2 linked regions of the Coturnix japonica genome follow. The protein of the gene in region 2 purifies or fractionates together with the protein of the main gene of each other region. This does not show direct contact. Links are inferred from orthologs where the notes say so. Each region holds a gene or a part of one and is shown on either strand. Other genes may lie near its edges. The genes, in order: UBA6 and USP48.

Region 1 (3,812 bases), on a different chromosome or scaffold from region 2:
AACTTCTTATCTTCAAGACAGGTGATGTCAGTTGTGTTTGCAAAGTATTTGCAAAAACCTTAAGTATCAGTTGTACTCACCAAGAAAACATTCAAATCATGCAGCTTCTGGCACAGAGATTCTCCAATACAAGCCCTCAAGGCATCATACCTATCTCCCCTTAAGAGAGGCAGGAAACAAAAACAGAAGAGTAGCAAGTTATTTTTTTCCATGGGGGCATCATCGTTATGGAATTCTACTTTGATGCAAATAAAACGACCAAGTCCCCTGCAGTCCCTATTCCTCCCATTCTCAAACAGGATGTGCACTTTTAAGCCCAAACTTCTCTCCCTCCAAAAAGCATTACTAAACTAACTTTAAAAGACATCTACGCTTACTTGAGAAACAGTACATAAAAAAGCAGACTGTATTGATAATTACCGTGGAAGAAATTCTTCAGAGCCCATCTTTTCTAGAGGTGTAACCATGTCTAACATATCTATATATAACTGTAAGACAAAAAATAAAGAACTGTGAAAAACAGTCATGTTTTGTTTAAAAAAACGTAAACATTTAAGCATACAGTCAAGTCTAGAAATCTTGTTATAGCTCATTATAGTTCACCACACAATTTTCACAGACAGGAATGCCTGGAAGCCACTGAAATCTGAGCCACAGCCTTATCACTTGGATTGTGACGTTTGTAATCAGATGATTGTGTGATCCTCTGAAAGGGACTGTGACACTTTTAACTTTATTCTGACATTTGCCCTGCGAGTCCTGAAAGCACTGCTCTTGTGCTTAAGATGGTATTTGGCAAGATCACACTGAGTATGATGTCCCAATCCCAAATAGAAAAGCTTAAGCTAAAACTGCCTGCTCTTTTACATTATGCGCAAGACCACCACATGTTTCTAAGTTCAGTCTCAAGTCCTTTTTCTTTCCCCCGTTACACAAGTTGTTCAGCACTCACAACACAACCACACTTCACCACATCACTGTTAAAATAAAGGTACAGAAGAAAAAAGGCCTTACCCATTGCTGCAGTGGAGAAAATTTTCCTGTAACTGCTTTCAGGACTTCCTGGCTGGCAACACCACCCACTGCTGCTGCCAGAGGAGCTAGAAATCCCTGAGCAGTTCTGGACAGCCACTTCACTATATCTCCATTTACCTGAGGCTTAAAAATAGAACAAAGCAATAATGTGTGTATATATATATATATACACACATACATACATATACATATATATATACACATGTATATACACACATGTATGTGTGTATATATATATACACATACATATACATACACACACATATATATATATCTCCAACTGATCAAGTCACATTTCTTGCGTGGCCTTCAGAAAAATCACCAAATTCATCTAAAGATGCATACAAAGATCAGAACAAGAGCCAAAACCTAAAGCACGGCCTTCAGGCAACCAATTATATTAGAAATTACTCATGATCCCTATTTGCTACTCACTTTGTTTTCCAGGGTTTCACTTAGAGACATGGCTATTTTCAGCATTTCCTCAGCATCTTGATGGCATCTAGACACAAGGGTAAAAACAATAATGGCCACTTAAGCATTCTTGAGTCCTTCTAAAAACAAAACCAATTGAGAAAGAATTGCTGGATAGAGAAGGAAGATTCTGGAAATCTGTACTGGCTTTAGTATTAAAGAAACTCTTTAAACGTTAAGAACAGCTCAAGAGTAAGAGCCTCAGTGGAGAAGCGCATGTGTAAGTCAGGTGATTTACACAGTAGTTTCATCTCATTGGACTCAGAGGTATCCACATAAACGACAGCTGAAACAAATTACTACTAATGAAAAAAAACAGAGCCTTCCCAAGCTTTGATTTTTTTGTCTTTTTAAATCCACAAACTGACAGATAATTCAGGAATCATCAAACAACTTCTCCCATTAAACCCCTCCATGTGAAGAAACTGGAACAAAGAACCGCCTTCAGAAGGAAGCATTTACACTTTCTGTAAACCTAGGCCTAGAACTTGCCACTGCTACACTGAGAAAGCCCAGCTACAAAATTAGGCAGGTATTAGGTAACATTCTGCACCTAGATTTCAACTTTTAATTTCTATGTCACCTAAGCACCAGATAGGCAAGAAACCCCGCTGCACATCAAGCCACAGTAGAGATGTGCCTGGTTCAAGGCTTAGCAAACATAAGATTGCTGCATTACCCAATGTTCGGCATGCGACCAAATTTCTCCTCAAAGTGGTTCAATGCGAGCATGGCAATATGGGTTTGCAAAGGTGCCTGTTAAAGACAACAACAGCTGTTGATGTGAACATACTCAAACTGAAGGAGATAAAAGCAACCGTTAATACAAACTGTTCAGCTCTAAAAATGTTAAGTAGCATTAAATGCCAACTTGAAACATCTTCTGCTAGCGGTTTTAGAAAATGGATTTCAGCTTATGAAACACTGCTCAGGAGTAATGTAATACACCTTGTTGAGTACCCACTTCACCCAAGTCCAACTAGAGTCCCCAAAAAGAATTTAGTGCTGAAATCATAAAAAAAAACCACACAATTTTCTTTTAATTAGACATTAGAACACACTGCATTATGCCAAGTCTGAGTACCAGAGCCCAGTATTAATGGCCAACATCAGAAAATCTGAGCAGACAAGTTAGATTTCACATCCTCAAACAAACAAATCCAGAGATGAACATTTTTTTAGTTACTCAGCTTAATGAGTACATGGCTGCCATTCTTTTAAATATTACCAATACTTCAATAAAATTGTGTTGGAGGCAGATACAGGCAGCTTCCTCTTGGATTATAAATACCAGTAAATCTTTTTACAAAGGAAAGAGAAATTGTTCCCACACTCAACTGCTGTTATTTTTTCTATACTGCCTTGGCTCTGAATCCTTTGTATTTATTTTTAATCAAAGCTCATCAAAGAAAAGACACTGTTTCTTTTAAGCATTTATACTGCCATCCATTCATCGAAAACTGATATTTTAAACAGATTTACAGAGAGATGGCTATGAGTTTACAATATAATTTGCACAATTAACAAATAAATTTCTCCAGAAACCTAACTCATAGTGCATGTTTGGTGTGAGCACACAATCTGCCCTACTCCCATTTCATCCTCTAAACTCACATTTAACAACTGCAGAAATTGGAAAGGTTTATTGCTACACACTTAAAGGTGCAGATTATATTCCGTGTAGTTTCAAGCTTACAACACTGACACTCAGATCTCCACACTTTATTACCTCAGGCTTGATAAAATCTGCAACTAGGCACGTTGGATTTGTTAGCTGCTTCTCCAACCGTTCCTGGAAAAACAGAATTCATTAAAGTAACACAGGCACTTAATACAACAATTGCCCCTTCTTGAGAAAACCAATATGCTTCCTGAACAGACTGACATTCTTCTTAGCATTTATACTACTCTCTTCATAACTATGATGAGAAAAGATGCACAAAATAAAACTGAAAGCTTTGTCAGTCAAAAGTGCAATGGATGTTTCACATCACAGTGGCAAGACCCATTTCTCCAACTGCTCTGTGGTCACCTATTGGATATTTTACAAGCAACTGGTTGTGGGCATTTATATCTTCACAACTCACCACAAACAGAAAGCCACTGCTTTGCAGAGACAGGATACAGCCCTGAGCTGGTCGTTCTCATATCAGCTGCAGCTGGTCCTCACTTCCAGCTCCCTTGCAAGACATTTAAGTGCCACCAGGTTCAACTTTCTGCGGGCCCAAAATGGCACACAACACCATATAGCTTGCAAACCCTTTTACACAAGCTCATCACTTGTTCTCAGAAGGCAGACAAGA
Region 2 (3,812 bases):
TGAGTTATTGTAAAATACACTCACAACTTAAAGGTTTTACCTAGATCTTCCTCAATCCCCAGCTGCAGTTTCTTCCCCTCCATCTTCTCAATGTCTTCATCATTGAATTTGTACCACTCTCCTGTCTGTGGGTCTTTCACGTGGGCAATGTAGTGCCCCGAGTACGCACTCACACCTCGGTGTATGAGCACAGCACTCAGTTCATACACATAGACACCATCTGGAAGGAAAACAGTGGTTATTCAGCTCCTGCTTTCTTTCCTAGCACTTCAGCTTTCTGCAGGGCAGCATGCAAAGGCAACACCTAGCTGCCCATCTCCCCAAGCCCTCTTCACATTGCTAGTTAGAGCTCCTGCATCCTGCCCAGCTGGGCACAGACAGCTGCTGCTCCGGCTTCCAACAGCTCTGGACAACCATGAGCAGATTCAGACAAGACCTCCTCTCGTTTGTTGAGTGGTAACTGCCAACTACCACAGGGTGCTACTCACTTTTTTTTTCCATAAAAGGTTCCATGTCAAGCAGCTCGGAGAAGCCAATGTAGGTGTTCAGCTTTTTCTTATGGCCAGTTTGTCTGTGCGAAGGCAAATGGCCAAGCTTCAGTTCAGGGGACAGCACCAATAGTTCACATCTCACAGTAACTTTCCTTGAAGCCCACCGAGCATCCCAAGAGAAGCTCATGCACGCATTCAATTCTCAACATCTCAAACCAATGTGGAAAGAGCAGAGCAGATGGCTTTCCAAAGGGCTTCCAAGCACCCAAGGCACTCCTGCTTTTACAGCACGCACTCCAGCGAGAGGCTTACCTGTCAAACACGAAACGCATCAGCTGCAAGTTGAGTGTGCATGGAAGACTTAGCAGCCTGATCTTCCTTGTGGCATTCTGCTTACTCTGACAAGTTTCGCAAAAATAACGATTGTCCCCTTCTAATTTTTCTTCCTGACCAGGGGAGGGGAGGGGGGGCAGAAAGAAAGATCTTGAGAACAGGTTACCCTGCAGTCAGCCCCTCTACCCAAGCCACCCACCGGAGACTGGAAAGCACTGAAAATATTTTAACCATTGAAGTCTCTGCCCAGCTGCCTTCCAAAATAATCTACAGGTTGGAAATCTGCAATCCTCTGGGCTAATAATGGCACTTTACAGCAGTCTGCTATGACTGTGCTGTCACTTCAAATGTCAAGCCAGACCTCAGGCTGCTTAGAAGGCTGCCAAGTTTGCTCTCCACTTGACCAAAGTGCACCAAGTTGGTTTAATACCACTAGGGCTAAGGAGAAAAAGGAACTGCCCTTTTATGTGATCACGCAGACTAAGTTAATGTACAGTCACATTTTAGCCTGTAAATCACAGTCCTTTGGGCTCAGCAAAACACACATCAGCCAGGGAAAGGAGAGTCTGAGCTTGGGTAGCACCAGTGACAGGATTAGGCCTGAGAACTCCAACTCCAACCTTTTCATTCAGAGGAGAAACACACAGTTGGAAGCTACCAGTATCAGGGCAGCAGCACTGCTGTCTGCATGCAGCTGCCCCTTCGTGTGCACACAGAGCTGCCATTTTTCCCAGCACACACTCCAGGAGCAAAGCAACCAGCTCGCACGGCAGGTTAGCTCTACACTCACGCTTCCAGCCTTTACCAGGGCTGCAACTTTGGATTCCAGCAGGTTTTCAAGTCACAAACAAGCACTTGCAGCTGTTCCCTCAGCTATTCCAGGGCCTTGCTAGTATTTTTGAGAGCAGGTTTTAGAGCAGGAAATGCCTCCCGTTGCTATGCAGATGAGCACCGGTATGGAAAACACAAAAAGCAGCCATTCTCCCAGTGCTATCCACGACAAAGCATTCAGACACTTTTACTCAGGCCTCCGGGGCTTTCCCAGCTTTCCTGGGAAGGCATTACAACTAAACACACCTTCCAAGTGCTTTTGAAAGCTGTTACATGCGCATGTGCAGCAATCCTGCCCAGAGCCACTTCTCCCTCCCCTGTGGAGTGCATGACTCATGACTGGGTTGTTTTTCCGGGTTTACAGAAAAGCATTTCCTTTTGCATTCATCTCAATGAGGCAGCTCAGCTCCAGCAGCCCACACCGACCTCAGAAGCTGCTGGTTGATGAAGGGAACAGAACACCTCACTAAGGACAGCACAGCTCACAAACCAATCAGACCGTACCTTGAGAAACTCTGTTATGCAGTCTGTCAGCTGCTTGTGCCCTTGGATATTTAACTCCAGCTCATAAAACTTAGACACGAGTTTGGACTCCCTACCGCACTGGTTGCAACTAGAATAAAGAAAACACAAATGCGTGAGACAAGTTCACCAGGCAATGAGCTGTAATTCCTCAGCCACTAGTAACCCTCCCCCTGTAGCTATGTAACAGCTAATGTGCTACGTCACAACAATGCAGGACAGCGTGTGCAGGATAACAGCACCTACCAGGAAACCATGGAGCACCTGCTTACTACTCCAGAAACCTCCAGCACAGCATTTCAGCAGCTCACCTGCCTGCTCCAGCTGCTAGGTGGGAAATTTCCCCTCATATCCTCCTGAAATGTGTAAATCTTTCTTCCCAAAGACCACACACTTACACTGTGACATAGGCGTACTCCCCACAGAACTGCTTCTGAACAATGTTTCGAACATCTGGATTTTTTTGTTTGGATAAAGTATCTTCCAGCAGCGACATGAACAGCTTGGAAAATTCCTGGGCATCCTGAAACAGAAAGCCAAAGCTTTTAACAATACGCCGAGGCACAAAGCACAATCACTGCTAATTTACTGCCAATTACACAGAGCCCTACACACAGCCTGCGCAGAGACTCCAGCGTGCCCTGCATAGAAAGAGACCAGGCTGGAGAACTAAAGAAAAGAGGAATTTGCCTAAACGGAGCACAAGGCCCCCAGCGTGAGAGCACAGCAGGAGTGAGGCTGGCTCTGGGCCAGCAGCTCCGGGTGGCTTTGACTTCTGCCCCGCTGCTCGCAGGGGTTCTGGATGGAAAACAGCAGCTTGTTAACCGCCTCAATCCCTTCGTGCTCCACCTGGCGTGCAGACATCAGCTCCTGCTGCCCAGCCATGCTGCTCTGCCCTGCTAGATCACAGCAGCTCTGAAAAGGATGCAGGAGCAGCTCGCAGAGCATTAATCATCCCCTGCCCCAGCACGGCTGGGTGGAAGTTAATCTCTCCAGCCCACCATTCCTGCAGAGATTTCTACCCTGTTAGCGCTCATTAGTCAAAGCCCCAGCACACAACACAAACTACCTGCATCGAGTGACACGGGAGGAAGAATAAAACTGAGAAGCTGCACTGTGGCTTTGCTCCCTTCCTCCTGCAAGGCATGGGAGCTGCTCCACGCACCACAGGGCAGCCCTCTCCCCTGAGATGGCTCTCTGCCTTCTGGGCTGCCTCCCTTCTCCTTACTTCCACAGCCCTGCACTGTTCTCTCCTCCAGAAAACAAGCTAGCTTTCACCTTGCTCGCCTGCCCAGGCCTCAGCTCTCCTCTCAGTGCTGTGCCTGCTGTGGTCCCACAGCTCCTCTCTCTGGTTCCTACCATTGTCACAATGGCACATGGCACTTGGCCAGCCTTTAACCTCACCAGTCACTAACAGACACTTCCTTCCCAGGGATGAGGAGCGACATTCCCCTCCCTCATCCTCTCCTGGCACTGCATACCTGCACTCTGGCTCTGATTCCAGCTGTTCTCCCTTACTACTCAAAGCTCATTTTCAAGCTCGGTTCTTCTCTACAGCCCCCTTCAGCTTCTGCAACAGCCCCACGTAGTGCTCACCATTCCCAAAAGCAAGTTCTCTGCTCACAGCCTCATGCA

Evidence for each region.
Region 1: the proteins of USP48 (region 2) and UBA6 fractionate together in Homo sapiens (co-fractionation; 3 studies listed by BioGRID, with this or other methods). This does not show direct contact. The link is inferred for Coturnix japonica from reciprocal best matches to the Homo sapiens genes USP48 and UBA6.

What each region holds. Positions count from the first base shown.
Region 1 is NC_029519.1:46,080,965-46,084,776, forward strand, and holds part of UBA6 (ubiquitin-like modifier-activating enzyme 6), read right to left. Parts: intron 3,302-3,812; coding exon 3,239-3,301; intron 2,266-3,238; coding exon 2,189-2,265; intron 1,538-2,188; coding exon 1,471-1,537; intron 1,159-1,470; coding exon 1,015-1,158; intron 489-1,014; coding exon 421-488; intron 160-420; coding exon 81-159; intron 1-80. UniProt on the Homo sapiens protein: Activates ubiquitin by first adenylating its C-terminal glycine residue with ATP, and thereafter linking this residue to the side chain of a cysteine residue in E1, yielding a ubiquitin-E1 thioester and free AMP.
Region 2 is NC_029536.1:5,719,101-5,722,912, reverse strand, and holds part of USP48 (ubiquitin carboxyl-terminal hydrolase 48), read right to left. Parts: intron 2,701-3,812; coding exon 2,576-2,700; intron 2,269-2,575; coding exon 2,160-2,268; intron 938-2,159; coding exon 804-937; intron 572-803; coding exon 489-571; intron 221-488; coding exon 41-220; intron 1-40.